Linked DNA regions of Mus musculus. The protein of the gene in region 1 interacts with the protein of each later gene in a pairwise test. Links are inferred from orthologs where the notes say so. Each region holds a gene or a part of one and is shown in the gene's direction. Other genes may lie near its edges. The genes, in order: Vapa, Adrb2, Pgrmc2, Zbtb22, Apod, Oprm1 and Adgrg7.

The links.
Region 2: the proteins of Vapa (region 1) and Adrb2 interact in a protein complementation assay, tested with the Homo sapiens proteins (2 studies listed by BioGRID and IntAct, with this or other methods). The link is inferred for Mus musculus from reciprocal best matches to the Homo sapiens genes VAPA and ADRB2.
Region 3: the proteins of Vapa (region 1) and Pgrmc2 interact in binary tests that used the Homo sapiens proteins (3 or more experiments, as listed by UniProt). The link is inferred for Mus musculus from reciprocal best matches to the Homo sapiens genes VAPA and PGRMC2.
Region 4: the proteins of Vapa (region 1) and Zbtb22 interact in binary tests that used the Homo sapiens proteins (3 or more experiments, as listed by UniProt). The two-hybrid records come from large-scale screens. The link is inferred for Mus musculus from reciprocal best matches to the Homo sapiens genes VAPA and ZBTB22.
Region 5: the proteins of Vapa (region 1) and Apod interact in binary tests that used the Homo sapiens proteins (3 or more experiments, as listed by UniProt). The two-hybrid records come from large-scale screens. The link is inferred for Mus musculus from reciprocal best matches to the Homo sapiens genes VAPA and APOD.
Region 6: the proteins of Vapa (region 1) and Oprm1 interact in binary tests that used the Homo sapiens proteins (3 or more experiments, as listed by UniProt). The link is inferred for Mus musculus from reciprocal best matches to the Homo sapiens genes VAPA and OPRM1.
Region 7: the proteins of Vapa (region 1) and Adgrg7 interact in binary tests that used the Homo sapiens proteins (3 or more experiments, as listed by UniProt). The two-hybrid records come from large-scale screens. The link is inferred for Mus musculus from reciprocal best matches to the Homo sapiens genes VAPA and ADGRG7.

Annotation. Positions count from the first base shown.
Region 1 is NC_000083.6:65,579,100-65,582,800, reverse strand, and holds the end of Vapa (vesicle-associated membrane protein-associated protein A), read left to right. Parts: intron 1-47; coding exon 48-221; intron 222-1,953; coding exon 1,954-2,112; 3' UTR 2,113-2,748; downstream 2,749-3,701. UniProt on the Homo sapiens protein: Endoplasmic reticulum (ER)-anchored protein that mediates the formation of contact sites between the ER and endosomes via interaction with FFAT motif-containing proteins such as STARD3 or WDR44.
Region 2 is NC_000084.6:62,176,888-62,181,635, reverse strand, and holds Adrb2 (beta-2 adrenergic receptor), read left to right. Parts: upstream 1-1,654; 5' UTR 1,655-1,883; coding exon 1,884-3,140; 3' UTR 3,141-3,923; downstream 3,924-4,748. Other genes in the region: Gm9949 (uncharacterized protein LOC225609), read right to left, coding at 1,033-1,591. UniProt on the Homo sapiens protein: Beta-adrenergic receptors mediate the catecholamine-induced activation of adenylate cyclase through the action of G proteins. The beta-2-adrenergic receptor binds epinephrine with an approximately 30-fold greater affinity than it does norepinephrine.
Region 3 is NC_000069.6:41,079,780-41,084,459, reverse strand, and holds the start of Pgrmc2 (membrane-associated progesterone receptor component 2), read left to right. Parts: upstream 1-1,413; 5' UTR 1,414-1,465; coding exon 1,466-1,865; intron 1,866-4,680. UniProt on the Homo sapiens protein: Required for the maintenance of uterine histoarchitecture and normal female reproductive lifespan. May serve as a universal non-classical progesterone receptor in the uterus.
Region 4 is NC_000083.6:33,914,749-33,919,426, forward strand, and holds Zbtb22 (zinc finger and BTB domain-containing protein 22), read left to right. Parts: upstream 1-1,427; 5' UTR 1,428-1,525; intron 1,526-2,068; 5' UTR 2,069-2,134; coding exon 2,135-4,051; 3' UTR 4,052-4,577; downstream 4,578-4,678. Other genes in the region: Daxx (death domain-associated protein 6), read left to right, coding at 595-654. UniProt on the Homo sapiens protein: May be involved in transcriptional regulation.
Region 5 is NC_000082.6:31,301,309-31,304,808, reverse strand, and holds part of Apod (apolipoprotein D precursor), read left to right. Parts: intron 1-1,277; coding exon 1,278-1,399; intron 1,400-3,500. UniProt on the Homo sapiens protein: APOD occurs in the macromolecular complex with lecithin-cholesterol acyltransferase. It is probably involved in the transport and binding of bilin. Appears to be able to transport a variety of ligands in a number of different contexts.
Region 6 is NC_000076.6:6,829,872-6,834,069, forward strand, and holds part of Oprm1 (mu-type opioid receptor), read left to right. Parts: intron 1-105; coding exon 106-626; coding exon of another isoform or gene 627-641; exon of another isoform or gene 642-768; intron 769-2,645; coding exon of another isoform or gene 2,646-2,858; exon of another isoform or gene 2,859-3,597; intron 3,598-4,198. UniProt on the Homo sapiens protein: Receptor for endogenous opioids such as beta-endorphin and endomorphin. Receptor for natural and synthetic opioids including morphine, heroin, DAMGO, fentanyl, etorphine, buprenorphin and methadone.
Region 7 is NC_000082.6:56,792,548-56,797,447, reverse strand, and holds the start of Adgrg7 (adhesion G-protein coupled receptor G7 precursor), read left to right. Parts: upstream 1-1,589; 5' UTR 1,590-1,786; coding exon 1,787-1,901; intron 1,902-4,900. UniProt on the Homo sapiens protein: Orphan receptor.

The DNA of each region.
Region 1 (3,701 bases):
AACCCATAAATTTTTTGTTAAAGATTCCCAATATCTTTGAAACACAGAATGATATGGAACCTAGCAAAGCTGTTCCACTGAATGCATCCAAACAAGACGGACCCCTGCCAAAACCACACAGTGTTTCACTCAATGATACGGAAACAAGGAAACTGATGGAAGAGTGCAAGCGACTCCAGGGAGAAATGATGAAGCTCTCAGAAGAAAACCGACACCTGAGAGTAAGTTTTTTGGGTTGAAAATGAGGTAATTGGAATGAAGGTATAAAGAATATGTTAGTATCTTTTAGCAATCTCTATGTTTATATTTAATCTTGTTGCCGGTTATTTTTTATTTATCTCGTTTGATCTTATAACTTAGAGCTAATTAGTGTAGGATTAAAGAAACGAGGTTTCTGAAAGCCTAGTAATGGAAATAAAATGGTCAGGTATATTTTAGTTAGTGTTAAGGGTTTTTATTTTTTTTTTTTTTTTTTTTTTTTTTTTTTTTTTGAGGAACTGGAGAGATGGCTCAGTGGTTAAGAGCACTTACTGCTCTTCTAGATGTCCGGAGTTCAATTCCCAGCAACCACATGGTGGTTCAAGAGCATCTATAATGGAATCCTATGCTCTCTTCTGGTGTGTCTGAAGACAGCAACAGTGTACTTAAATACATAAAATAAATCTTTTATGAAAAGATTTGTTTTTGACACTTGATAGGATTATTTCCCATTGGAAAGTGAAGATATCCCAAGTTGAAAATGCACCCAATACATAGACCTTTGACTGTCCTATCCTAGCTATCACATTAGCACTGCTAATTAGCAGCAGAGTGCTGGGCACCTTCTGAGAGGATCCCAGCACATGTCCCTAGCCCGGGGAAGACGAAGATTCACTGCACATTCCTAATGCCAAAAACAGTACATTAAACACTAGAGAGGCTGGCCATGCTGTGTAAGTGGTTGAGGAATGGTGTGAGGATAAAATAGTTTATTTTGAGGTAGTACAGATTCTCTAGTTAGGTTTTATAAACAGCATCTGATAACAGCCAGCCATATAGTTAAGAGGTATCTATAATTTCTCCAGGACCTTGTGACACATACTGTCACAAATAACCACCTGCTTTGAGAAACTATTGCTTTACTAGGAGAAGAAGCCAGGGCAAAGTCACATCTAAACTCAACCACAGGACTATCAGAAATGTAAACTCAGTATAAGTAGGGAGCAGTTCATTCTTTTACATGGAGCAGATAAGGTACTTAAACAAAAAGAAGCGATTGCCAGCAGGAGCCTCAGAGACGGGTTCCTGTACGTAGTCTAAATTACGTACAGTCTATGCTCCATGGTGACCCTTTATATATGTCCCTTGGGTTTGTTTTGCGCATATTAAAGACTCTAAACTACTCTGCTTTTCTCTAAATCTTGCAATATATTATCTATCTAAAAATAAATCCTTGTGTGCCTCCCATGTGGGTTTTCAGGTTTTACTGAGTCAGTAAACATGGAGTATAGGTGTGCTATTGATAGTTTCTTGCTGATGGCTGGAGTATAGGTGTGCTATTGATAGTTTCTTGCTGTTGGCTGGAGTATAAGTGTGCTATTGATAGTTTCTTGCTGATGGCTGTAGCCAATCCAAAATGCTGTAGGGCTCATTGGAAGTAAGCTTACATGTTTTATAGGAATACATTTCTCATTTTCAGTTTTAAAAGTCATTGTTATTGAGGTGTAATTTACATCACATAAATGTACTAATTTTAATTGTTTTAGCAGATTTATAGAATTATTCGGCTTTATTTATCGCTTTAGTACAGTTTTAGAATTTTTCCTAATTCCACAGGTTTCCAAGGTAGATGGGAATTTATTCTTGCTCCTCTTCAAAGCCATACACATGTACTGAATTCCTTTATGAACTTTTAGCTCTGCTACTCACCTGTGTGTGCTGTTTAAAAATCTTTGTTTTGTGTCTTTTCCCTAGGATGAAGGCCTAAGGCTCAGAAAGGTAGCACATTCGGATAAACCTGGATCCACCTCAGCCGTGTCCTTCAGAGATAATGTCACCAGTCCTCTTCCTTCTCTTCTGGTTGTAATTGCAGCCATTTTCATTGGATTCTTTCTAGGGAAATTCATCTTGTAGAGTGAAGCATGCAGAGTGCTGTTTCTTTTTTTTTTTTTTTTCTTCTCTCGACCAGAAAAAGATTTGTTTACCTACCATTTCATTGGTAGTATGGCCCGCGGTGACCATGGCCCGCGGTGACCAATTTTTTTTGTGTGTACAGCGTCATATAGGCTTTGCCTTTAATGATCTCTTACGGTTAGAAAACACAATAAAAACAAACTGTTCGGCTACTGGACAAATTGTATATTATCAGATCATCACTAGCAGATGTCAGTTGCACATTCAGTCCTTTATGAAATTCATAAATAAAGAATTGTTCTTTCTTTGTGGTTTTAATAAGAGTTCAAGAATTGTTCAGTCTTGTAAATGTTATTTTAATAATTCCTTTAAATTTTATCTGTTGCTGTTACCTCTTGAAATATGATTTATTTAGATTGCTAATCCCACTCATTCAGGAAATGCCAAGAGGTTTTCTGTGGGGGAAATGGTGCCTCTTACTGTGTAAATTTTCTCCTTTACCTTTGCTAATATCATGGCAGAATTTTTCTTATCCCTTGTGAGGCAGTTTGTTGACTGAGTTTTTCATCCTTACAATCCTGTCCCATGGTATTTAACATAAAAAAAATAAAACTGTTAACAGATTCTTGCTCGATAGCTTGTTTGTGTCTGTCATGTCATTTGTGCTGGGTTGGGCGTAGGGTCAGAGTGGGATGAGCCAGCATGTTCACTCTGCAGTGAACTTTATTGGACTTAATTGATTTGTTTGTTTGCTTTGGTTTGGTTTTTCGAGACAGGTTTTCTCTTTGTAGCCTTGGCAGTCCTGGAACTCACTCTGTAGACCAGGCTGGCCCTGAACTCAGAAATCCGCCTGCCTCTGCCTTCTGAGCACCAGGATTAAAGGCGTGCGCCGCTGCCACCCACCCAGTGGGCTGTATAATGTGTACTGTTACCTTGTATGAAACTCTTTCCAGTCCTTGATTATTTGTAATTTAAAGTCTTGAGACTGTTTTAAGAAATGACAAGATTTCAAGCCAACGTAGGTATTTTGGAACATCTTAATTGAGTTTATGAAATGTAAAGGTGCTGTGATCCTCATGAGTTTTGTGTGTGCCAGCTGCCTGTATTGTCTTCAGGGTCTCCAGGCTTGTTTTTGTTTGTTTGTTTGTTTTTAAAAACTGTCTTTTCAAGGAAGGCTTAATTCTCCTGTATTCTAAATACTCAGTGTACTAAATAGTTCTACTTTTTAATGTATTTAACAGCTGAAAAGAATTGGTTTTTTTCTGTTTTAGAAAATTAGTATTACTTTGCAAACCTTGGGTATTTACTTTTTGAAAAACAAACTAAGGTTAGTTGTGTGAAAATTACAAAACAAACACCTGTTACAAATGTACTGATGCTTCCCTGTAGTCTTAGGCCTTGGTGTATATCACATGTACTGAGATAAACTTAGAATCAGAAAGTACTGTTTTCAGCTGAGAATATAGTTCATTACATGGAGGTGAATTTTGTGTCATTAAAACTGGGTGTTGGTTTTGTAGGAATTGGACACTGTTGGGGCAGAGACTGGGTCATAGGGCTTACTGTGCAGGAAGGGTATCACAGGCCTG
Region 2 (4,748 bases), on another chromosome or scaffold:
ATGGTATTATGTAATCTACAAAGTATGTTTGCTTACTCCGTGTGAAAGACTTTCAGTCTATCAAACATAATACATGTGAAATCAAACCTTGAAAATTAATTTTTTCCCAACAGTCAAGACATTTGCCAGCTGCAGAGATTAGCATTTCATGAAATCTTAGTCTTGTTCTGAATTTTTTTAATGGGAAGGAACAACTATCCTCAACTATCCTTTTTTTTCTGTAGTTTTAAAATGAACTCCACAAAACATGTTTTTAATATAGGGAATTATATGAAATTGTGGGGTGGGCAGCGAGGTTAAAGGCAGAAATAGCCCAATGGTGGCACATTCACTGACACAGCCTAAAAGATTAGCAAATTACCCAGCCAACACATACAATTAATACAATTAATATTTTTATAGTTAAAACAGAGTTACTAAAGAAATTGTTTGAAAAGAAAATTATGAAGACTGGAAAGACGGCTCAGTGCTTAAGAGCTTTGGCTAGTCTTCCAGAGAACCAGGGTTCAATTCCCAGCACTCACAAAGGCAGCTTGTGAGCTGATACTATCTGTATATTCAGTCCTAGGGAATCTGATGCTTTGTCCTGACCTCCAAAACAGGCACAAATGTGGTGCACAGACAAATGTAGAGATAAGACTCCCATGCACAGAACATAAATAATGTAGTTTAATTTTTTAAATTGTAAAACTGAAAATGGTTGCACTTGCATTTTTATTTTCAGCACATCCCCAGATATCCGCCATATAACAAGAAAATGATGCCACACTCCCAAGAATTAAGAATTACACCTTCCCAACCCTACCCAAATGTGTATACTTCTAGGTCTAAAGAAATGCGAAGGATGAAGTTACTGCCTTGGTGCGGTTCTCAAGGAGGGAGGATGCCAAAAAAATATTTTTTCACAAAGTGTGCTGAGAAACTCTGTAGCTGTTGGAGTCATCTCCTGTGCTCTTGCCAAATAACTGAAAGGGGATACACTGGATGTCTGTGAATGGGGTGTCACTTATGAGTGCTAGAAGCGGGTGGTACCTGGATGTGGACACCGGTGTCTGAGTGGTCCGCACTCCATGTCTCCACAGGAGCGCTTATGTGTGTTTCTTTCCTCCTGCTTCTGGGTGTTCCTGGGTTTGTTTACAGCCACCTCTCTGTTGGACCAGGAGACAGCTGTCATCTCCAGAATGAGCGGGCGCGGGTGTGTCTCCGTGGCTGTGGCTGTGGTTCGGCATAAGTCTGAGCATGTCCTGGTCGTCAGGGTGCGTTTGTGCCTGTGTGTGCGTGTCCGGGTGAGCTTGCTCTTTCTGTTCCTAAAAGAAAACGCACCCTGCGCTACTGGCGTCCAGAGACCTCTCAGCCCGCACAGGTGACCTGAACGGACAGGTAGCACCTCCAGACAGCGCCTGGTTGGCGGGTTGCACAGCAGCCCTAGATTTCTCTCTCTGGTGCCCCAGCTAGGGTAGCTGGAAGGGAGCGGTGGCCTGGCCTCCGGGGAGCCGCTGGGCCCCGCCCGGGCTAACCCCAGGAGGAGGCGGGCTAGGCTGGGAGGGTTGGCCCTTGGTGCCTCGCCCCTCCGGGCATCCGGCCGTGCCATTGGCCCAAAGTTGTTGCACGTCACTGGGCAATTCCCCTAAAGTCTGGTGCACATAACGGGCAGGGCGCACTGCAAGGCTGCTTCTCAGGCATTCAGGCTGCGGCTGCAGGCACCGCGAGCCCGGAGCACCCACGAGCTGAGTGTGCAGGACGCACCCCAGCACAGCCACCTACGGCCGCTGAATGAAGCTTCCAGGAGTCCGCCCCCGGCCGGCTGCGCCCCGTCGGAGGTGCACCCGCTGAGAGCGCCTGGGCACCGAAAGCCGGTGCGCTCACCTGCTAACCTGCCAGCCATGGGGCCACACGGGAACGACAGCGACTTCTTGCTGGCACCCAACGGAAGCCGAGCGCCAGACCACGACGTCACTCAGGAACGGGACGAAGCGTGGGTTGTGGGCATGGCCATCCTCATGTCGGTTATCGTCCTGGCCATCGTGTTTGGCAACGTGCTGGTCATCACAGCCATTGCCAAGTTCGAGCGACTACAAACCGTCACCAACTACTTCATAATCTCCTTGGCGTGTGCTGATCTAGTCATGGGCCTAGCGGTGGTGCCGTTTGGGGCCAGTCACATCCTTATGAAAATGTGGAATTTTGGCAACTTCTGGTGCGAGTTCTGGACTTCCATTGATGTGTTGTGCGTCACAGCCAGCATCGAGACCCTGTGCGTGATTGCAGTGGATCGCTATGTTGCTATCACATCGCCCTTCAAGTACCAGAGCCTGCTGACCAAGAATAAGGCCCGAGTGGTCATCCTGATGGTATGGATTGTATCTGGCCTTACCTCCTTTTTGCCTATCCAGATGCACTGGTACCGTGCCACCCACAAGAAAGCTATCGATTGTTACACCGAGGAGACTTGCTGTGACTTCTTCACGAACCAGGCCTACGCCATCGCGTCCTCGATTGTGTCTTTCTACGTGCCCCTGGTGGTGATGGTCTTTGTCTATTCCCGGGTCTTCCAGGTGGCCAAAAGGCAGCTGCAGAAGATAGACAAATCTGAAGGAAGATTCCACGCCCAAAACCTCAGCCAGGTGGAGCAGGATGGGCGGAGCGGCCACGGACTCCGAAGGTCCTCCAAGTTCTGCTTGAAAGAGCACAAAGCCCTCAAGACTTTAGGCATCATCATGGGCACATTCACCCTCTGCTGGCTGCCCTTCTTCATTGTCAATATCGTGCACGTTATCAGGGACAACCTCATCCCTAAGGAAGTTTACATCCTCCTTAACTGGTTGGGCTACGTCAACTCTGCCTTCAATCCTCTTATCTACTGTCGGAGTCCAGATTTCAGGATTGCCTTTCAAGAGCTTCTGTGCCTTCGCAGGTCTTCTTCGAAAACCTATGGGAACGGCTACTCTAGCAATAGCAACGGCAGAACGGACTACACAGGGGAGCCAAACACTTGTCAGCTGGGGCAGGAGAGAGAACAGGAACTGCTGTGTGAGGATCCCCCAGGCATGGAAGGCTTTGTGAACTGTCAAGGTACTGTGCCTAGCCTTAGCGTTGACTCCCAAGGAAGGAACTGTAGTACAAATGACTCGCCACTGTAATACAGGCTTTCTACTCTCTAAGACCCCTCCTTGACAGGACACTAACCAGACTATTTAACTTGAGTGTAATAACTTTAGAATAAAATTGTATAGAGATTTGCAGAAGGGGAGGCACATCCTTCTGCCTTTTTTTAAATTTTATTTTATTTTTTAAGCTGCAAACAAGAGAGAGAAACTGTATTTGAGTGCTTATTGTTTTCTTGTATAGTTCAGTTCCTCTTTGTATGGAACTTAAAGGTTTCTGTCTGAAGAGTGTTGGTTCTGGAGGACTGAGTCTGTCTGTCTGTCTGTCTGGATGATGTTTTCATGTATCTACCTCACTGGTCAAGTATTAAGAATGATATATATTGCTGCTGGAAATCCATATCTAAAGGAGAGAGTTTTCTTCCTGTACCCTTGGACTTGAAATATCCTGTGTCTTGGACCTTTCTGCTGTGACAATGGGCCCTTTCTCTCTCACTCCACTTATTTACTCAAATGGAGTGTTGCAGGCAGGGATTTGAGGGACAACATCAGTTGTTTTGTTTTTGTTTTTGTTTTTGTTTTTTTGTTTGTTTGGTTCGTTTTTGGTTTGTTGTTGTTTTTTGGGGTTTTGTTTTTGTTTTTGTTTTTTTGGGTTTTTTTTTTTTTTTTGCTGAGAAAAGTCTAAAGTTTACAGTAAATAAATTGTTTAACCATGACTTCATTGCACCCGTTTCTTCAAAACCTCTTGACTCTGGAGTGTCCTTGTCTCTCCCACTGGAAACCACAGGTAAACTATGTGTCGTGACCGATGAGTGGCTTAATGTGTAAGAGTACCAGAATGGCATGCACCGTGCCTAGCCCTTCCGTGTGTGTCTTCGGAGCTCCAGATGCAAACCTGTGCCTTCCCTAACTTCACTCGTGTCCCAAAGCAGTCCTGCCTGTTCACAGCATAACCCAGTATGTCCTACAGTTGCTCTTCTGTGCTGTCACTCCAGAAACCCTGACTCACGGAAACAGAGTTATGGGCATATGTTTTTGTCCCCATATGCTCCTGACACCCACCTTCCAGCCTTACTTGCTTAATAACTGTGTATATTTACATCACTGCCGTCTCTTACAGTAGTGCCCTTTGTACTGCATCAGGGCTTGGTGTGTTCAGGATGAGGAAGATGTTCTGTGTAATAGCTGTTCAAGCATCTAGAAATTCTGAGGGAAATCAAAGGCCTCGGTCAGAGAGAGAGAGAGAGCAAAGCTTTAAAAAACATAGCTGGTGAATGCTTCACGCCCTTCAGCCTCTCCTCGCTCCCGTCTGCTGTCCCGTGTCTTCTGTTCCCCAATTCTCTGCACTTCTGTGTAAACCAGGCTTCCCCATGTCTGGCATTCCCGTGCATTATATGATATTTGGCGGCAGCTCTGTACCCAGTAAATTCTGGTAGCACCCCCCCTCAAGTTTACAAATAATTGCCAAGAACAACTTCAGCCGCGTAGCACCCCCCCTCAAGTTTACAAATAATTGCCAAGAACAACTTCAGCCGCGACCTCTTACCCCTAAGGGTAAAGTACTGCTTAGTAGAAAGCCTGCTGTAGACTTTGCAAACCTAAATCATTACTACAAAGGTTCTATTTTTGACACCTAGGAGAGGG
Region 3 (4,680 bases), on another chromosome or scaffold:
TTAACGTTAAGTGATTTAAAAGTCATAATGATGGGCAAGGGAATGTGCTTGCTGGTATGCAAGTTCATGGCCATCTTCATCTACATATCAAGTGCAAAGCCAATCTGGAACACACTGAACCGTCTCAAAAACAAAAAGACGGTATTTCATGACAAATTCAAATTTCGGTGTCTCTAAGTACATTTTTAATAGAAACACTATCATGCTCATTCTCTATTATTTATGTAACAGTTGGGACAGAGAGACCTTATGGCCCACAGCACCTAAATATATAATCCATTACAGAAAAAAATTTCAGCACCTTCCCCCCCCCCCCCCCCAAAAAAAAGCCACGATGAGTCTTATGTACAATGGCTGGTTTCCCATCCTTTCGAGTGTTAAAACCTCTCTAGGGAAGTTATGATCACCAGTACCGTTAGTGGGTAGGGCTCTCCTGTCCATTGACACTAAAGACAGTTACCTAAAAACTAATAGCAGCCAGAAAAGCCCATCCCTACTTTTCTATACTGTTCACGCCAAAGCCTGAGTCAGCTCCTTTCTGAGTCAGCTCCTTTATGCCGGGTAGCTCACCCCTAGGCTGCCACCATTCGTCTATACCTGTCCCCCACCCCCGGTTGTTCAAAGTTATAAGGAACTGGCCATTCCCTGGATGCATCTTCCTTCCTCACAAGCAGAGTGACAGAAGCCTGTCAAACTAGCTGAGGGCGCGAGATGGGTGGAATTCACACTGGAAAGCACTCTCGCAGGCCCCGAGCAAGGCTATGGAGCTAGAGCCACAGGCTGCTTTATCCGCGCACGCCCACCGCCGGGGAGCAAAGCGCAGAAGAGCTTGCGTCCGACTCCTGTTAGGAGCACTGCCCAAAAGCAGCGTGGGCCGGGACCCGAGTGTCCGGCGCTGCTAGGGCTAGTGCCCGAAGCCCAGCTTCACACGCGGCCCCGCAGCTCACGCTCTATTGCGGCCTCCGCCGTGCGTCGTCACAGACGCGAACCAGCCGTCTCAGAGAGAAGCCGCTTCTGGGCGCACGCGCGCGCAGCAGGGAGGGGTTGCTAAAAAGAGCCCAGCGCGTGGCGTCCCAGGGCCCGCGCACGCGCCCTGACGGCGCTCCGCCCATACGCGCGAGTACGCACGCGCACAGCCGGCTCGGCCCACCCCCCCCCCGCCCCACGCACACTCTATTTTTCTTCAGCCCCGCCCTTCCCTTACACTCCCCAGGCTGAAAGCGTTGGGGCTGTGAGAGCAGGGAAGTGTGGGGCGAGGTGGGCGGGGCGTTGCCCGCGCGCGCTGCCAGCCAGAGCCCGAGCTGCGAGAGCGAAGCCAGACAACGTTACCCAGCCAACAGCCAATAAGCAGCCGGCGCTGCCACGCCCCAGCCCCTCACGTGATTGGCTGAGCGCCGCCTGGTGGGCAGGGCCGCGGGCTTGGGGAGGGCAGGGGGCGGGAGGAGGAAGGCGCTGGCGGGCAGTGATGGCGGCGGGTGATGGGGACGTAAAGCTAAGCACCCTGGGGAGCGGCGGGGAGAGTGGCGGCGACGGGAGCCCGGGTGGCGCCGGAGCGACGGCGGCGAGGAGCAGTTGGGTGGCGGCGCTGCTGGCGACGGGCGGGGAGATGCTGCTGAACGTGGCGCTGGTGGCGCTGGTGCTGCTGGGGGCCTACCGGCTGTGGGTGCGCTGGGGGCGGCGTGGTCTGTGCTCGGGACCCGGGGCGGGCGAGGAGAGCCCGGCCGCCACGCTGCCGCGCATGAAGAAGCGGGACTTCAGCCTGGAGCAGCTGCGCCAGTACGACGGGGCGCGCACGCCGCGCATCCTGCTCGCGGTCAATGGGAAAGTCTTCGACGTGACCAAAGGCAGCAAGTTCTACGGCCCCGGTGAGGAGTGAGGGGTGTCGGGGTGGGGATCCGGGACACCCTATCCCCGCCGCGGCCCCGCTCCTGGACCGCAGCCCCGCGCACGCCCCCAGCTGCGGGCGTCGTGGGGGGCTCAGTGGCGCCCCACAGACCTGCGCTCGGCGTTCCTTGCCTTTCCCAATCCGTATCTCCTCGCAGCTTTTCCTGGGGCTGAAATTCTCAAAATTGTTAAGAGTTGTCTCTAGTCACGTTGGCGTTCAACCTTTCCTCGGAGCGTTTTGATTTCTGGGCTTTGTCGGGGCAAGAGGGCTAAAGTGGCGATCCAAAGTTTTTGGCCCAGTGTTAAGACAGCTTTCTTCTTATTCTGGGTTGTCTGTTTGACACTTGCCTACTTTTTCCCTTCTCCGGACTTGTCTGCCGAGAGTCAGGGCTAGGGACACGTAGTTTCAAGTCCCAAGCCCTGGAGCTCGGTTTCACAACCACCCCGGACTCGTTTTCATTCTTTTTCTAAAAAGTCGGTTTGGGCTCCAAGATGCTTTCCAAGATTAACAACTGTATGTAAAATGAGGACGGACCAGAACGTAAACCTTAATAAGTAAGACTGGCAAAGATATTGGCCCTGAGTGTAGGGGGTGGAGCTCATCTGCCCAGGAGGCAGGCGTGTCTCTTGTCTCCGACTCTCTCAGTCTCTCCCTCCTTCCCTCCTCTCCTTCTTTCTCTGCTAATAGTAAAATAAGTATTCAAATACCCGTTGAAAATAAATTATTGTATTTTCCCTTAGCAGAATGAGACGCCTTGGGGGGGTGAGGGGGGGCACGAACCTAGAAGCGTCGAACTTCTCGCCCCCTGCCCTGCATGTGCTGAAGGTTTTACAACTTTACTTTCAGAAAATTACGTGGAAGGTAGTTGCCGTTAGAGGCCCTTTTGCAGTGTAGTGGTAATCTATATTGCAGATTGTGCAAATAAACTTCAGACCCCGGGTATCTGTTGGTAGCCCATAAAATTGAACAACATTGTGCGGCCTGGTTATGCAGTGCTTAATATTAAACTTTAAAGACAGAAGGGGAGGGGGAGGAGAAGAGAGAGCGTGAGTTGTAAGAATGAAGCTAGAGACCAAAGTGACCCCTTATTGGAAGGTATGCATCCAACTTTTAAGCTAGGTTTCCTTTTAATTTCCTTATTGCCCCTGATTGATTTATTGACACTGAAGACGCTTCTAATTTCTATGCTCAGTTGGATGCTATTTTAGGAGTGTTTTGGTTTGTTGATTGGATTAGAGCTAAGAAACACAAATAAGCATTTGATGTTGGATCTGTTAATCTCTTTGTGTGTGTGTGTGTGTGTGTGTGTGTGTGTGTGTGTGTGTATTTCCTTCTGGATATATAAACACAAAAATCATGTCTCCTTACTTACATCAGCTCCCATGGTTAGTACTTTTTTATTTTTTTAATTTAAGAGCATGTGGAACAAGAGAATAGGACCCAAGTACCTTGTTTACATGGACCAAGTCAAATAAACTTTTAAAAGTGAAGAATTTGCACAGATTTTGTACCAAGTTACACACTTCCCTCATTGGATTGAAGTGTGTTCAGTGGTTAAAGATTGTCTAGAGTATTTGTAAAAAGACCCATTATCAGTCCTTATACATCCGGAAAGAGTCAGTTTGGCAGTCTCCATGGCAACCGCAGCAGAGGTTGAAAACTAAGAGGTGTGCTGTAGAGTGGGTCCCTGGGCTTGAGCACTGATAATAGTGAAGAACCATCCTGGAGGCCTTGGAGTGAGGCAAGCAGGCCTCTGTAAGGTCTCTGCCTTTTGGGGCTGCATAGTGAGACCCGTCTGAAAACAAGAAGAACAGAGAACCACCTCCTTGTTCTTTTATTACTGGTATCAGTAAACAATCTAATAGGACTATCTGGAAGGTTTTATTATTCGGACAAACTTAAATGGAGCCAGAACATCTCGTGATCTTACTTTGTTTTTCAGGGATAGGAAGTATTGAGGTACTTTCCAGGGGACTTGATGCCATATGTTTTGCTAGGATATAAATGTAAATTTTAAATTTGCCTGTAACTTTCATTTTATCCTCAAATAAATGCAGTAATTTTGTGGTGTTACAATTCAGCCTACAGCTCTCCTTACCTGAGAATCTTAGTAATTTGAAAAACTCAGCCAAGAGCTAGCAGGCTTACTGTTTTCTCCAACCACTGTGTATTCCATTCTGCAATGATAGGTTTTAGGATTAAGGTTTGTTCTGTGAGGGTTTTTTTTTTTTTTCTCCATAATACTGGACACATTCTCTTACAGCTGTGTATCTTTAAAGTTCCAGTTCTTAAAATTAAAATGGCAATATTTTAAATGTAGTTCATTGCCGACTGCTTGCCAGAACGCATTGACTTTGTTGTTAGTATAGTATTTTATACTCTAATAGTCAGGTACTTGGCCAGCTTGGAAAGATAGTGTGATCATGTAGGAAACTGCAGTTCCTAAGCATCTAATGATCTAATGAATGGGTTGGATCATGCATTTGTCATTTCTGCAAAGTATTTGCCTTACACATGAGTCTGAGGTTTAAGTAAGCTGGCTTGGATCACATAAATAAATCTGGGAAATCCAGATATGTTTGACCACAAAGTTTATATACTTTGTGGTAGAGAGCTTCAGGGCTGAACTTACAGAGAATCCTGTTACTGGTCTTGTCTTTTTACCCCTTTCTGATTTCTTCCCATACAGAGTTTGAACTTCAAACAAGTTTTCGTTTTCATGGCTTTTACGACGTCTTAGTTACCCAATATGGTAGCCGAAGCCACAAATGGCTAACTAAAATTAATATAGTTTA
Region 4 (4,678 bases), about 32 Mb from region 1:
GAACACACAAAGTCTCAAAGACTGGCTGTGTGTGTGTGTGTGTGTGTGTGTGTGTGTGTGTGTGTGTTTAGGTTTAACCCCATCAACCAGGAGGCAGAGGCATACAGGTCTCTCTAACTTCAAGGCCACAGTCTAGTCTACCCAGTGACAGTCAAGGTTACATAGTGAGACCATGTAAAACAAAACAAAAAAGACTTATTTTATGTAAATAGGTGTTTTGTTGGCATGCATACCTATGTGCTACATTTGTGTCTGGTGCTCATGGAGGCCAGAAGAGGGCGTCTGATCCTATAGATCTGGAGTCACGGAGAAGGCAGAGAGCCGCCATGTGAGACTGGATACAACACTCGGGTCTTCTGCAAAGCAGCTGCGTGCTTAGTGGCTGAGCCATCTTCCAGCCTTCCATCCTGCTTTGTTTTGTTTCTGAGACAAGGTCTTTCTATGTAGCCCTGACTGTCCCAGAACTCTGTATGTAGTAGATCAGGCTGGCCCCAAACTCGGATATCAGCCCGCCTCTGCCTCTTGAGTGTTCGGACTAAAGGCGTGAGCCGCCATGCCTGGCTCACCCTTCTTTCTCCTCTGACTTGTCTGCAGACCAGTGTGGCCACACAGTGCGACCCGGAGGAGATCATCGTGCTTTCAGACTCTGATTAGCAGGCCCCATGCTCCCCGTGCTCCCTGCATCCAGAAGGTTTTTTGTATGGCTGTTGGAAGATGATGGAGTAAAAGATGGACAGAGCTCCTCCCGTTTTGATGGTGTTTCTTTTGACAAAAAAAAAAAATCAAAATGTTTTAAGTTTTACACAGACACATTAATAAACAATGAATTTCTTTTTATTGTATTCTTTCCTTTACTTTGCCTTTTCTCTTGTGACAGCTGTCACCTGGATCTGCCTTTTCTATCCTGGCTCTCTTTTTAGGGCGTCCTCATCCTTAACCCTTCCTTGAGCCTTCTTCCCCTAGGCACTTTTAAAGATAAGTGCTTCGGAAGCCTTCTTAAGCAGCTTTCCTCTCTCGTTTTGAGCGGTCTGAGTGAAAAGGCCAATCAGGGGCTGACTCAAGGTGATTTGGCCAATCCAGGCCTGGAGGAGGGGGGCGGGGCTTGGGGGGTTCTCATATGCTGGGAAAAGGGCTGTTAGATCCCGCGAGCAAGCTAACGTCCAGAGCTCGGGGTGGAGCCTGGGAAGCGGAAGCCAGCACTGGTCAATGAGACAAGGTAGGCTTGTCGGATTAAAGGGGAACGAAGGTTTCGGCCAAACCAATTCCTGAGTCCTCAGCCGCAGACGGGACCTGGTACCTTTAAGGCGGAATGAAGCGCCGGTTCTTTAAAGGAAAAGTGTCGCTGTCGGTCGACTTTTGCCCAGCGGCACAGGAGGGGTGCTGGCCTGCGCCTTTAAGGTCGCAGGTCCGGGAGGCGGAGTGGAGGCGGAAGGCGGAGGGAGTCGGCACAAGATGGCGGCGGGAGGGGCTGGGGCTGCGGCTCTGGTCGCGGAGTGAGGGGGGGGGCCCGGGGGCGCGCGGCCAGGTAAGCGGGGGCGCGCGGGGCTGGGGGCCCCCCTCAGGCTGGGGAACAGTCCGAGGGCGCGATTGGGGAGGACTGGGGGGCGGGGTTCGGGGGCGGGGGCAAACACGAGGCGGGGTCGGGGATCCAGGGGGCGGAGCCCTGGAGGGTCCTGAAGGGGCGGGGTCGGGATCAACTGGGGGCTCTAGGGGGAGGAGCTTGAGAACTGTGGAGAACACCCCTTCACCCCAAGAAAATCGGTACGCAACACCAAGGAGGGGGCGTTCTTTTGAGAGTGAAGCCGTAGACTAGGATAGACGCCCCTTCCCTGAGAGCCCCCTATTTCCTGACCCAGGAGCGAGAGTACTAAACTTGGAATACTTTCTTTGCTAGCGCTGCGGTTTGGTGGTGTTTGATTGGATGTTTTACTTAATAGTGAGCCTCAGTTGCCCCGTCTGTACCATGGGGTTGACAGGGGTACCTGTTTTTTTTTTTTAAATACTGTGATGGCTTAAAATCAGTGATGCTTTCAAAATGCTGTTATTCTTTTTTTTTTTTTTTCCCTAGAGACCCCCCCGGCCGCCCTCTTCTTTCCTTTGTTCCTGTGGCTGGGGGGGTATCTCCTTCCACAGCATGGAGCCGTCTGCTCTGTCACCCAGTGGGGCCACACTCCCACTGCCTCTGTCACTGGCTCCACCGCCACTGCCTCTGCCGGCAGCTGCAGTGGTACACGTGTCCTTCCCTGAGGTGACCAGTGCCCTCCTGGAATCCCTCAACCAGCAGCGGCTCCAGGGTCAGCTCTGTGATGTGTCCATCCGCGTGCAGGGACGGGAGTTCCGCGCTCACAGGGCCGTCTTGGCTGCCTCCTCTCCTTACTTCCACGACCAGGTCCTACTGAAAGGCATGACTTCCATTTCCCTGCCAAGCGTCATGGACCCAGGCGCTTTTGAGACTGTCCTGGCCTCAGCTTACACGGGCCGCCTCAGCATGGCTGCTGCGGACATTGTCAACTTCCTCACAGTGGGGTCGGTCCTCCAGATGTGGCACATTGTGGATAAGTGCACTGAACTCCTTCGGGAGGGTCGATCCGCAGCCACTACAACCACTGTCACTACTGCTGCAGCCCCCTCTGTCTCTGTCCCTTGTGCCAGTGTCCCATCAGGGAATGGGGGCACTGTCGCCCCTGCCACCGTAGGCTCTGTCCGTTCCCATACCTCCAGCAGGGCCAGTGAGAATCAGTCTCCCAGCAGTAGCAACTACTTCAGCCCCCGGGAGTCGACTGATTTCTCCTCTACCTCCCAGGATGCATTTGTGGCCTCAGCAGCAGGTAGTGGGAACCGTCGGGATGGTGGCCCGGTGTTCCCAGCCCCTGTGGTTGGCAGTGCGGGTACCACCTCCGGGAAGTTGCTGCTGGAGGCCGATGAGCTATGCGATGACGGTGGGGATGGGAGAGGGGCCGTGGCCCCCGGGGCTGGGCTCCGGAGGTCTAACTGCATGCCTGCCAGTGCAGTGCCACAGAAACACTGGGTGTATGTGAAGCAAGCTAGAAATTGCCCTGCACCAGCCTCCCTGGTCCACCAAGACCCCGATCTAGAAGATGAGGAAGAGGAGGAAGATCTGGTGTTGACTTGTGAGGATGATGAGGATGAAGAAATGGGAGGCGGCTCTGGGGTTCCTGCAGGGGGAGAGCCCGAGGCTACCCTCAGTATCAGTGATGTTCGGACCTTGACCGAGCCTGCAGACAAGGGGGAAGAGCAGGTCAACTTCTGTGAATCCTCCAATGACTTTGGCCCCTATGAGGGTGGGGGCGCTGGGGCAGGGCTTGATGACCCCGGAGGACCCACCCCTTCCTCCTATGCCCTCACCCACCCTCCACGACCCCTCCTTCCATTGGATGTGCCGGGCAACCAGATCTTGGTTTTCCCATCCTCCTCTTCACAGGCTCCAGGCCAGCCACCAGGGAACACAGCTGAGCACGGGGCAGTGACCCTCGGGGGCACCTCTGCGGTGGGGCTGGGCATACCAAGTGGCTCTGGTGGGGCTCCTGGAGGGACAGGCAACAGCGACGGGAATAAGATCTTTCTGTGCCACTGTGGGAAGGCTTTCTCACATAAGAGCATGCGGGACCGGCACGTGAATATGCATCTCAACCTGCGACCCTTTGACTGCCCCGTGTGCAACAAAAAGTTCAAGATGAAACACCACCTGACCGAGCACATGAAGACACACACGGGCCTCAAGCCGTACGAATGCAGTGTCTGCGCCAAGAAGTTCATGTGGCGGGACAGTTTCATGCGTCACCGGGGACACTGTGAGCGTCGGCACCGGATGGGTGTGGGTGGGGTCGGATCTGGACCGGGTCCTGGACCTGGACCCGGGACACCTTCTGGGCCAGCATTGCAACCCAAGAGGGAGTCTTCCACAGTGGGTGGGGGCAGTGGCGATGAGGCAAATTCGGCCACGCCCCCGTCCCATAGGCGTGTCTGGTCCCCACCCAGCGTGCACAAAGTGGAGATGGATTTCAGTGGGGGTGGAGGTGCAGCACACTGAAGAGCAGGCAATTGGGGAGCTTAGTCTAAGAGCAATGGCTCCCGGGGTTTCCCCCACCAAACAGTCTTCCCTTACCTCGGTGGACTTGTATATATTCTAGAGAAGGGCGTGGGTTGCACCGTCGCCAGCCCGTTCCATTCCTCAGCCCCTTCCTCGAGATCTCTGGAACTAAGCTGTGTTTTTGCTTTTCCCCTGAGCACACCAGAGCCCCACCTTCACGGAGTAGTGCCAACAAGGTGGGGGAATGGAAAAGGGACCTTTTGAGCATCCTAGAGTCACAGAGCCAACAGTCAGGTTGTGCTAGTTTGTGCCTGAAGTCTGTGTTTGTGTTGTGGGACAAGGCCTTTGAGTCTTAACGATTGTCCTTTCTCCTCTTGAAGGATACGCCCCTTATTTCTGTACTACCCCACCCTTGCCATGGGGATCCCAAATTGGGTTGTCATGAAAGTGGGTGGACACAAGGTGGGAGCCGCGTAGTATAGGTCTTAATTTTTAACGGTGATTAAAATATTTATTGGTCACTTCACTTGGCTTCCCAACACCCCTCTGTTTGCTGGGACCTGGCACAGGTCTGGGAACGCGGGAGTGTGGTTTTAAGGGAGGTGGCGCGGAGAGGGCACAGCAGGA
Region 5 (3,500 bases), on another chromosome or scaffold:
CTGGTTAAAGCTTATGGCTCATCACAGTAGCAACAGAAAGCCCATACAATAAGCTTTTCCTTGTTACATCAAAGGCAGCTTAAGCATATATCTCACTTCAGACCTGACTCTTTGCTCTTTATTCTTTTTTTTTTCCCCCAAGACAGGGTTTCTCTGTGTAGCCCTGGCTGTCCTGGAACTCACTCTGTAGACCAAGCTGGCCTCAAACTCAGAGATCCGCCTGCCTCTGCCTCCCAAGTGCTGGGATTAAAGGCGTGTACCACCACTGCCTGGCTGCTCTTTATTCTTTAAAAAAAATTTTTTTTTAATTTATTTACTTTACATCCCAATCACAGCCCCTCTCCTTCCTCTCTGTCCCGTCCTGCCTTCTTTCTCCTTTTCCTCCCTCCCCCTCTCTAAGGAGAAGGGAGAGTACCCACCACCAACCTACCCTGGCACATCAAGTCTCATCACTGAGGCCAGACAAGGCATCTCAGCTAGGGAAAGGGAGCCAAAGGCAGGCAACAGAGTTCAAGACAGAGACAGCCTCTCCACCCCTAATTCAACCCCTGACACTATTAATGTTCTTTATTCTTTAGATAACCTTTGAGATAATTGCATATAACTTTTTAACAGGAGGTGTATAAGATGTCATCAGAGAGATACACTATCATGTATTTCCCCAACTCCTCTCTAGATTGTTTCCTGCCTTTTATTGTTACAGACAGACCTGCAACAAATAACCTTATACTTACACACCATTTCTTTACAACAGGAGAACATTCCCAGAAATCAAATTGCTGGCCTAAGAGAACGTGTATTTTTAGTTTTGCTCAATATTTCCAAACTGCCCTCTGCGGAGGTTATGGATTGGTACAGTAACTAACTCCAAACAGAAGTGCCCCACAGTCAGCATGTCTGAGTTACACAAAAGTCAAAATGCCCCGTAGAGTTATCAGCTGTTGGAGGGAGAAGGTATTCTCCATCGACCACACAAACCTTTCCTTTCACAGAGGCTGGAATTTCACACGAGTTCTGACTAAAGAGAACTCTGAGAACATATCCAAATAACGAGCCCCTTAGGAATAGAACGTGACATACAATCATTGCCCGCACATCCGCATCATTTATTCTCATTTGAAACAGTATCTTGCCTAGTTGTCTGGGAATGATGCTGCAGTCCATTTGGCCTGGTTTCCCCTGGAAAGGGCTCTGCTTCTAAGGCAACAATGGAGACGAGTCAGCAAGGTCCCTAGAGAGCCCTTGGGTTTTGCCTCTGCTTGTTGTTGTCTGTGCAGTATCTTGGAAGATGGTACGAAATTGAGAAGATCCCAGCGAGCTTTGAGAAAGGAAACTGCATTCAAGCCAACTACTCGCTGATGGAGAACGGAAACATCGAAGTGCTAAACAAGGAGCTGAGGTGAGTGCGCATGCCTGCCCGGATGGCCTTGTTTTGTGCTCCCAGCAGGCAGGGGCACGGAGAGGGTGTGAGCTACTCAAACTAGGCAGGATGATCCGGATGCATGTGTTCCCTTTAACCACTGCTGAGCACCTACTGAATACCAGACACTGAGAGAGGCAATAGCGAGTCGAGAATACCAGTCAGCGCCCCTGCTCTCTTTCTAAGATGGAGACTCTTGTAGCCTGGCCTCTAAACTGAGAGAGAAACCCTTTCTGTCCATCTACTCACAGAGAGCATCAAGTTTTGCCAAATACTTCTGTGAACTGGGGGCTCAACCTGTCCCGTGGCAATTTGTTCACCTCCAGCCAGCTTCCCTGTTAGGAACCCCGCCCCCTTCTTTTCTTTTTTCTTTTTTTTTTTTTTTAAATATTTATTTATTTATTATATGTAAGTACACTGCAGCTGTCTTCAGACACACCAGTCAGATCTCCTTAAGGATGGTTGTGAGCCACCATGTGGTTGCTGGGACTTGAACTCAGGACCTTCAGAAGAGCAGTCGGGTGCTCTTACCCGCTGAGCCATCTCACCAGCCCCCCTTCTTTTCTTATTTTGAGACAGGATCGTGTGTAGCCCAGGCTGGCTTCCAACATACTGTATAGCCAAGGTCCTGGGATTTCTTTTGTTTGTTTGTTTGTTTTTGTTTTTTTGAGACAGGGTTTCTCTGTAGCCCTGGTGGTCCTGGAACTCACTCTATAGACCAGGCTGGCCTCGAACTCAGAAATCCCCCTGCCTTTGCCTCCCAAGTGCTGGGATTAAAGGTGTGCGCCACCACTTCCTGGCGGTCCTGGAATTTCTGATCCTCCTCAGTGCCCGGATGACAAATGTGCACCACCCTGCCTTGTTGTGTAGTACTGATGGTTGAACCCAGAGCTTTTTTGCATACTAAGCAAGTCTCTACCAAATGAAACACATTGCCAGGCCCAGTCACCTTCTCTCTTTTTTTTTTTTTTTGGCTAAGCAAGCATCAGGTACCCGAACAGATACATGTACTCTCTAGCTTATGTCAACAGGATCTCTTTTGGAAGTTCGCACTTCTGTCACTAGGTACATTGGCAGTCGATCCATATCTGTACACTCTGGAGAACAGACTTAGACTCAGGATGAGGTCCTACTTGCTTAGCCTCTACCAACAAAGCTTGCAGCACCAACGACCGCATCTAAGTAATTCCTATATGCAAGGCACTCGCTACCCCTGTACTTGGGCCTCCCTGAAAATGTATTTACCTAATCCCCATGATGTAGCAAAAGTAGATACTATTATAAACCTCATGGGCGAGAAAACGTTGGTATGGACAAAGAGGTTAAGCAGCTTGTTCAAGGGCCATATAACTGATACAGCATGAAGCCTAGATTTGAACCCAGGAGAGGGGAAATGGGGAGACCTGCTAAGGAACTGGATTTTAGCGCCTCCCTCACCGCCAATCATACAACACTAACCTACCCGACTGCCTCACACATACTTTGGTCTCATGGTTGCCCTGCTTGAGGACCAATGGGCAGGCAGCTCCTTTGCCACCTCTGGAAGAGTAGTATTCTGATGTCTAGGCACATCCCTTCTCTGTCCTCTTCTCTGAGGCTTTGCCTGTCCTGTGTTCATGGATAAATGAGAAGAGAGAGAAAGAGAGAGAAAGAGAGAGAGAGAGAGAGAGAGAGAGAGAGAGAGAGAGAGAGAGACTTGCTCCTGCATATGGTGGAGGAGAAAGTTTATTGTAGATAAAAGGAAGACCATAGCCAGAGGCAGAGACATAGAGACATGTAGGAGAGTCCATTGTGGATATGAGCCTGAGCCCTGTAAGGAGGGAAGGGAGAAGAGATAGAAGGGAACCAGAGGTGGGTTAACCAAAATGACTGTATTATATAAGGAAGGGCAGCTGGGGAAAGGGCCCTTCTCCCCGGGCTAGGGAAGTTTGGGTAAGGGGCAGGGTATGCCTGCCAGGACTCTAGAACTGATAGAGACTGAGGGACGCTGGGAGAACCTGGAGGCCAAGTTCCCTTTGATATGTTAAGTAGGCACCTCAGCCTTTTGTCCCAGGTTTGAGACCTAACAATGGGATTTTTG
Region 6 (4,198 bases), on another chromosome or scaffold:
TCTGTAAGCAACAACCTAGGCAAAGGAGGCAAAGGTGCAATTTTAAAACCTGATGATATAACTAAATGTCGCTGCTAATTTTTCTTGAAACTTCTTTCCTTCCAGGGTCCATAGATTGCACCCTCACGTTCTCTCATCCCACATGGTACTGGGAGAACCTGCTCAAAATCTGTGTCTTCATCTTCGCCTTCATCATGCCGGTCCTCATCATCACTGTGTGTTATGGACTGATGATCTTACGACTCAAGAGTGTCCGCATGCTGTCGGGCTCCAAAGAAAAGGACAGGAACCTGCGCAGGATCACCCGGATGGTGCTGGTGGTCGTGGCTGTATTTATTGTCTGCTGGACCCCCATCCACATCTATGTCATCATCAAAGCACTGATCACGATTCCAGAAACCACTTTCCAGACTGTTTCCTGGCACTTCTGCATTGCCTTGGGTTACACAAACAGCTGCCTGAACCCAGTTCTTTATGCGTTCCTGGATGAAAACTTCAAACGATGTTTTAGAGAGTTCTGCATCCCAACTTCCTCCACAATCGAACAGCAAAACTCTGCTCGAATCCGTCAAAACACTAGGGAACACCCCTCCACGGCTAATACAGTGGATCGAACTAACCACCAGGTATGTGCTTTCTAGAATTATGTATAACATATAAAAACACAGCACCTGATACCAGTCTAAGATTTAGATCCTTAAGGAGGTCGGTTACTGGAGAATCCAGGCCAAGCCTAAAAATAGAGAGGGAGTAGGGGACCAAATTCTGATCATAGTGTTAGGAAGATGTGCCATAGAAATATGCTTGATGTATGTGTGTAAGTTCATTTAGATGTTTGGTAAGTAACTGTTGTGTCCGGCCAGCAGACCACAACCTGGGTTCTAGCCTGGAAAGGCATTTTGGAAACCTGGAAGAGAAGAGGGGCTAGGTGGCGAGAGAAAGGAATGTAGCCAAGACAGTTACTCTGATCAAGGCTCAAATTTTATTGTTGCGACACTAGTTATGAAGGAAGGGGGAGGGGACCCGATTCCCGCCGAATAATCTCTGGTCCAGTAGAAAGGTGCACGTGTGTGGCTCCGCAGGTTCTAGCAGTGGGCGTGGCAGAACGAATGAGCAGGAAGCTCCACCCCTGAGCAAGCAGGTTTCAGGCTGGGGGAGGGGAGACTATAAGTAACAATATATTATGCTGCTGAAAGTTACTATCCTCAGAGCCTTGTCTCCTTTGCAAAATAAATGGCTTTAGTACATTTTAGAAATAATCTCACTTTGGAGTCTTGATTCACACAGCAACTTTCTATAATCCAAAATATCTTGCTAATATCCCTATTATTTAAAAGCAAACCCCACCCCAAATCTGTAAAGAACATTGTCCAATGTGGTCATAGGTACAAGATATTCCCAAGCGAGAAAAAAGTGTATATATGTATATGTTAATATATATGTGTTATATATATATATGTTATTATGAGTGACCATATATATACATGTATGTATGTATACACACACACATATATGCTGTACTTGTACATGTTTTATATGTGTGTATATATATAAATATGTATATATATATACATATATATATATTTGATAGGCCATCTCTAATATTTATTAAGGCTTTGTTTTGTAGATTCTGGAGTCTGAACACTAGAGCAAATGCCAGCATATTACCTAACTACTATATTAAAATTAATTTTAAACACTCTCCATACTATTTGGAAATGATTTAGACTAATTAGAAGTTTAGACATGTATTACTATGCCCAGGAGAGTCCCAAGAAGATCCAAGATTCAATCACAGTTGTGTAACCACACAAGAAATGAACAAAGAGGGGGAGATCTCTTACCCGTAAAACTGCCTAATTGGTCACATTGCAATAATTCGACACCTTTCCTAAATCTCAGTGCATATATGATTTAATTATTCATATTGGTTTAAATAAATATTCCAAAATCCTTCCCACACCTAAAAATCACTGTGAATATAATTTTGTAGTAACACAGAGTCGAAACTCAACCCTCCTTTGAGTAAATAAATGATACTTGGGCTAAACTCTGCGTTGTCAAGTGGCAAGGCTAGGAGGAGTCACATAAAAAGGATTCACTACCAAGTCCTGCAGAGGAGCAGCCAGAGGGAGGCCTTGGCCACCATGGTGCTAGCTGTCTCTCCACCACAGCCCTCTCTCACTGTTCTGTTTATCCTCAACTGTGACTAGCCAGCATAGCCTACATTCAATCTGTCTAACTGACCTCAGATTTATGTAATACAACCTAGATGAATCTGCCTCAGAAGACGTGAATGCTCATACCCAAATGGGAAGTGTGCCTAATGCAATACATGTGACCAGCACCCTTAGAGAACATGGTGGTAATGGTGGCAGATTCATTCCCAACTCAAAGGCAATTATTAACAAATTTATCTCCCTGCTTCCAGCTCAGAAATCAAAGCCAGGCAAAAATGGGTTTCTCTGCTGCTTCCTCCCCATGCCCCACTCGTTGTTATCCACATCGAGACACATAAGCCTTTCCTTTTTCTAGGCAGCTCTCTTTTTTTTTTTTTTTTTTAAGGGGCTTTCAAACTCTTGCCCATCACTTTGAAAGAGTAAGGATTTAAATTTTTTTTTCCTTTTTTCTCCAACCCATTTTAGATAATGAAATTTGAAGCTATCTACCCTAAACTGAGCTTCAAATCTTGGGCATTGAAATATTTTACTTTCATTAGAGAAAAGAAAAGGAACACAAAAGCTGGGGCTCTTCCTCCCCTCCCTACGTGTCATGCTGGATCTCCCTCCCAGGCTCACAGGGGCGTGGCTGCTTGGTTGCTTCCTCTAAGACACATGGGGCCTTCTTATCCTTCCTGACCCACCTGACCTTCCTCTAATGGAAGCAGAGCCCCAAGCTCTCTATTCCAGCACATCCCTGTTTTAAACATAGCTGCCCTTCAGATTCTCTAACGCTGCCTTCGACTCCCTTCCACACCCAGTGTTTGCATGTCAGTGTGGATCTTGCACAGCCAGAGAGTAGAAGGGAAGATAATTGGAGAAGCTCTGTCCTAAGTAACTAAAAGGTTTGCTTTAAAAATACATCCAATTAGCACTTATCATTATCACTGCCTCTGCGGAGCAGCGTCAGCATCAGATAACAGAAAAGCACATTAGCCTGGAACTGGTGGCCTCCCAAAGGCCCAGCTGGGAGAGCTAGACCAAGAAGAGAAGCAGAAAGAAGCAGAAAAGATGCCCTGACATAATTGAAAATGAACAGAAATCAAAGATCCTATTCACCCATCTCCACTGATGTGTCTTCCTTTGGGGTTAAGGTGGTCAGATGAGAATGGCTGGCTGGAGCGACAGTAAAGCCTGTGGTGGTCATTCCTGGCATCTATTCTAATCAGATCTGAAGGAAGAGTCAGGCTACATGGCTCTGCCAATGGGAATCATTGGGATTACCTCAGAGTGAGAATCTAACTAGCAGGTGGTGTGTTACTGTAGGTTTCATGTTTATTCGTTCCTTTGTTTAGAATATGAGCCATCCTTTTAGGAAACAAGGCTAACTGGATTAGAGTGATTGAAAGTTTTTAGTTAGAAGTATTAGAAGTTTGTCCCGGTTATCAATGTTTATGTTCTGTCTCTTTATGTTTTCATCTATATCTATATCTATATCTATATCTATATCTATATCTATATCTATATCTATATCTATATCTATATCTATATCTATATCTATATCTATATCTATATCTATATCTATATCTATATCTATATCTATATCTATATCATCTATATCTATATCTATGACTAAATCTATACCTATACACACATATATATATGTATATATATATGTATATACATATATATATATATATATACACACACATTTGTCATATTCCATATGTCACACATCAAGCACATTAGTCAACTTCCTACCTTGCAGATCAGAGATGCAATGTCCAACCTCTCCAGGGTGTCTGTATTCTGACAGATGGACACTGAGGCCATGTCCACACAGCACAGAGTGAAGTGACAATGTGACGGTTGGCAAGGTAAATAGATAAGCCATACATACCAGAAAGTTCTATACCCAGAATGCATCCAGAGTCCCATAGTCCAGTAAAAGCATCTCATTAAGGATTTTTCCTACAAGCCTAGAGGGTAGAAACAACCATTATGCAGGCTACAGCTGTAGGATATGTCAGTAAAAGTTG
Region 7 (4,900 bases), on another chromosome or scaffold:
ACTCTTGCCGTTTTGGGTAGATAATAAAGACACATAAGAATAAATATCACATATTCACAACAGACAATGAACATAGATTTATTTGTTTTTTTTCTTCTGTAGCAGTCTTTAAACTCTTTCATTTTGTGACATATTAATGTGTTTTTCTGAAGCTCTAGGATAAGGTAAAATTAGAACTTTATGTTAATATCCCCCCTGAGTTGTACTTTAGGAAGTATTATTGAGAATTGGGGAATAACACATCATTTTGAGGGGTAAACAGATGATCAGTTTAGATGTAAAATTTATTTTATAAATCTATGTCTAATACTCCCAGAAGAGTACTCTGTAGCACCTTGTTTTGTTATCATTAACAAATCTGATCTGTCTTATCACGAGTTACACCCTGGTTTTTCACCCTGGGGCAGCGGGAGTGCTTGAGAGCTTGTTCCTGCCTGTGAGGGTCCTGACACAATTGAAGGCACTTTATCATCCTGGGTCTTAGATGAGCAGAGGAACCTTCCACTGATTCATCCACCCGAACCTGCACTTCAACCACATGGGTGCTCATTAGCACCTTCATTCGAGACTAGGGAGGGGCAGGGAAGAGTAAGGCGGGATCCCCAGGGTCACAGCTGCAACTTCAGAGAAACAGCAGTTTGTGATTAGATTGCTGTGAAAAAGTACTACAAACTTTGTGGCTTAAAGAACAGGAATGTATATGGTGTGGTGACCTCCAACTATAAAAGTTTTTCATTGCTACTTCATAACTGTAGTTTTACTACTGTTATGAATTGTACTGTAAAAAGCTGATATGCAGGATATCTGATATGCAATCCCTGTGAAAGGGTCAGTTGACACCCCACCCACCCCACCCCCCACAAAGGGGTCAGGACCCACAAGTTGAGAATTACTGTTTTAAACCAAGATGTCATTGTAGTTGGTTCCTAGGACTCTGGAGGAAGACTATAATCTAAGCTTTTTGCTGTAGTTCTTTGCCATTTGGTTGTATTGTCCCTTTATTTCCTTAGACATTGCTCCTCTGTGCACATTGGTGCCCAGATTATCTCTTATAAAGACACCAACTGGACTGGAGAAACGGCTCAGTGGTTAAGAGCACTGACTGCTCTTCCAGAGGTCCTGAGTTCAAACTTATCTTTAATCAAGGCTGCATTGTGGGTGCTTTGGGTTAAGACTCTAACACATGAACGTGGGCACATAATGTAATTCATAATAGATGAATTATAACTCTGTTTTAGTGCTTTGTATAATTCTTCCCAAGTCAATATACTCAATCACCAATTGTGACTGTTAGAATTTAGGCTCCTTAAGGAAATGCAAGAGTGAAATCTTATGTGGCTATTGCAGTTTGTCCTTTCCTTGACAACAATGTTTCCCTATCCAAGAGGGTGTTTGACTATCCTGAAGCACTTGCTGAAGTCCCTTAAGACCAAAGTACAGGAGACTGATCTGTAGATAACCAGAGGGATCCACTGCCTTCCTGGCTTCCTCTTTGGGTTCTGATAGCTTGCCTCCTTCCTTGACCCTCAAGGCTAATCCCGCCCCTCCTTTATTGCCCTGAGTTAGTTTCCTTTTCTGAGAACCCTTGTCTCTTGATCTCCCTCGGTGAAGAATGAGCATACTGCACGCAGAAACCCACCTTCTCTTTGGTGATTCCAACTTCATTACTCTGAATTAACTTCAAAACTCTTAAACCATGAGATCACCTGTCAGACAGACCACTGAAGGGAAGAATTCTTTTCATGTTTTATAACTATCTCTGTTCGTGCAGTGTTTTGGCTTCACCATGCGTTCCTGTCGTTCCTGCAATGTCCGGGTACTGGTGGCTATTGTGTGTGGGCTACTGACAGGCATTGTTCTGGGACTCGGCATCTGGAGGATGGTCATAAGGATCAACAGAGGTAATGTCACCCTGCTATAATCTACTGAGACAGAGAGTGGGTGTTGGGGGATGGCATTGATTCTCTGACTCTGCTACCTGATATTTCAGTGCCAGGGAAGTGCCTTGTCCAGGAGATGCCTGCCTTCCACAACACAACTTAAGAATTGTAAGACCGCAGTCCGTTGATGACCAGTGGACAGCTTTATACATAGAACGTGTGTGTGTGTGTATGTGTGTGTGTGTGTGTGTGTGTGTGTGTGTGTGTGTGTTTTGTGAATAAGCAGGGTGAAGAGTGAGTTTTGAATTGGCTTCTTTGCACTATTTTAATTTTGGAGTTGATAGAATGAAGAACAATAGAAAGTATAACAATGTGTATTTGGGTTTACTGAGCTAAATCCTATAAAGGTAAATAGTTGTGAACTCGGACTCCCCCCAAAAACCATGTACAGAATAGAAATTCATCTCAAGAAGGAAGCTTAGAGACCGTAGCACCAGAGTGGTGAAATGAACTTAGGTTTACGTTCAAGTTTCCCATTTTGCAGGTGTAGAAAATTAGTTAAAGATGAAAAAATTAAAATGAATTTAAAGGTTATTTTCCTGCTGGCTCCACACGTGTTTGTAAGTTTCTTGCTGTGTTCCAGACCTCATGGAGGAAGTACGGACAGAAGCAGGGTCACATGTAAAGTGATGGTGTTAAAGTAAAGCCCCTGAGACCGCAAAAATACATGTTTAATGATTCTAACACTGCACCCCTTTGCCTCTGGAGATTCCTTATAAAGCACTGGTTTTCAATCTGTGTGTTGTGACCCCTTTGGGTGGCAAATGACCCTTTCATGGGCACTTAAGAATGTCTGACAACATTTCAATTCACAACAGTAGCGACATTCAGTTATGAAGTAGCAATGGAATAATTTATGGCTTGGGGTCACCACAACAGGAGAAACTGGATTAAAGGGTTGCAGTGTTGAGAAGGTTGAGAACCACTGCTAGAAAGGGATTCAAGATGATTTGTAGAACATGTGGAACTGAGTGACTAGAGGTGACTAGTACCATTAAGGAGAAGTCTGCCCTCAAGGAAGGCAGAGAACTGCCCTGCAATGGTGCCAGGTTGCAGAATCCCATGCTGAGAACAAATGTTTGATATGGGCTGGTACAGGAGAGGTAGCATAGAATGGAGCCATTCCTACATTACCCAAAAAGAATAGAATTCAGAGAATACTGTGTTGTCAACATTTAGAGAACTTGAGTAAGAAATTAAACAGGACAAAAGAATAACATTAAAAACATTAACGTTTGTAAAAACACTTTCAGGTTTAAGGAAAAACTGTAAAGAGTCTCTCTCACTGTTACGCGCATTAAACTTGTAAGATCTCCTTTAAAGGATGTACGTTTGAGAAATGTCTTCCTTCTTGTTGCATTCATAATGATTTCTGTTTTCAAAGGGAAACATGTGACTTAGAAATGACACCATTAAATCCAACCATTACAAGGACAAAGTACAAATCCAACATGAGGAACAATATTGAAGAGAGGACAGAAAGTGCAAGTTAGTCAAAGGCGTAGGGGGACTGCTTAAGTGTGGGCACACCTCCAAGCTGCTGGAGGAGAACTGCTTAAGTGTGGGCACACCTCCAAGCTGCTGGAGGCCTTTGAAGGAAGTAAAGTGTATTAAAAGTTCTGCTTCTCAGAGTGTAACATATCAGCTCCTCAGAAAGTCTAGCTTTGCACCTGGTGTTAGTTTATCAGAGCTCTTTACATAAGGGATATTCCTCAGCTTTAGGGTAAAGCCAACAGAAAATTAGACGGTCGTCACTATCACTAACAAATAGAAAGGATGAAGACTGACACTTTTTGCTGTTTGCTGTGTCTGTGCCTTGTAAATTCTATTTGGGGTGTGCTTTAGCTGTTTATCTTTATTTAGTTCTGTTTGTATCTGCTTTATTCCGTTCTATTCCACTTCCTTCCTTTTAGTTAACTTCTTCTGGGTATTTCACCTCTTTCCTGCACATCTCCCTTCGTTCTACTAATGTCATTATGGAATATCTTCTCGTTGTTTCCTTACTTACTTATAAGTTATCTTTAAATTTAAAAAAATTTTAGATACACAGTTCATGCATATCTCAGAGACATTGATCTATCTGTGAAAGCCTTTTTTGCTTGTTTTTAAGATCTTATTTTAGAGTTTGCATTGTCCTGGAACTCACAATTTGTATCCCAGATGACATCATACTCATTGTGCTGGGTTTTCAGGCATGACCCCACACTCCTGGCTAACTATAAATAAGTTATTTAGGAAAAAGCACATAAGCACATATACATTAAGTTATGTCCAAGTTAATTTACTATATTCAAAATTCATTTCAACAAACAATGTATTTTTCACAAAAAGTGATAACTTATTTGTGAAAAACAGAAGAAAAAACCTTCCATTTCACAGTTTCAGTAACATTCAGAAGGCTGAGGCTCGGGATCGATGGAGTTCAAGGCCACACTGAGCAGAATAAGACTGTTTAAAGGAAAAAAAAACACAGAAGAAATGGAAATTTTCCAACTTCTGTTTTGAAAAAATTTTATCTGGCCACAGAGTGAATATTAATTAGTTTTTATACTTAATTTTTCTATACCTTACAATTCCTTTAAAAAAATTTTTATTAGGTATTTTCCTCATTTACATTTCCAGTGCTATCCAAAAGTCCCCCACTCCCCAACACACCTACTCCCACTTTTTGGCCCTGGCGTTCCCCTGTACTGGGGCATATAAAGTTTGCAAGTCCAATGGGACTCTCTTCCCAGTGATGGCCTAATAGGCCATCTTTTGATACATATGCAGCTAGAGTCAAGAGCTCCAGGGTACTGGTTAGTTCATAATGTTGTTCCACCTATAGAGTTGCAGATCCCTTTAGCTCCTTGGGTAATTTCTCTAGCTCCTCCATTGGGGGACTTGTGATCCATCCAATAGTTGACTGTGAGCATTCACTTCTGTGTTTGCTAGGCCCCAGCGTAGTCTCACAAGAGACA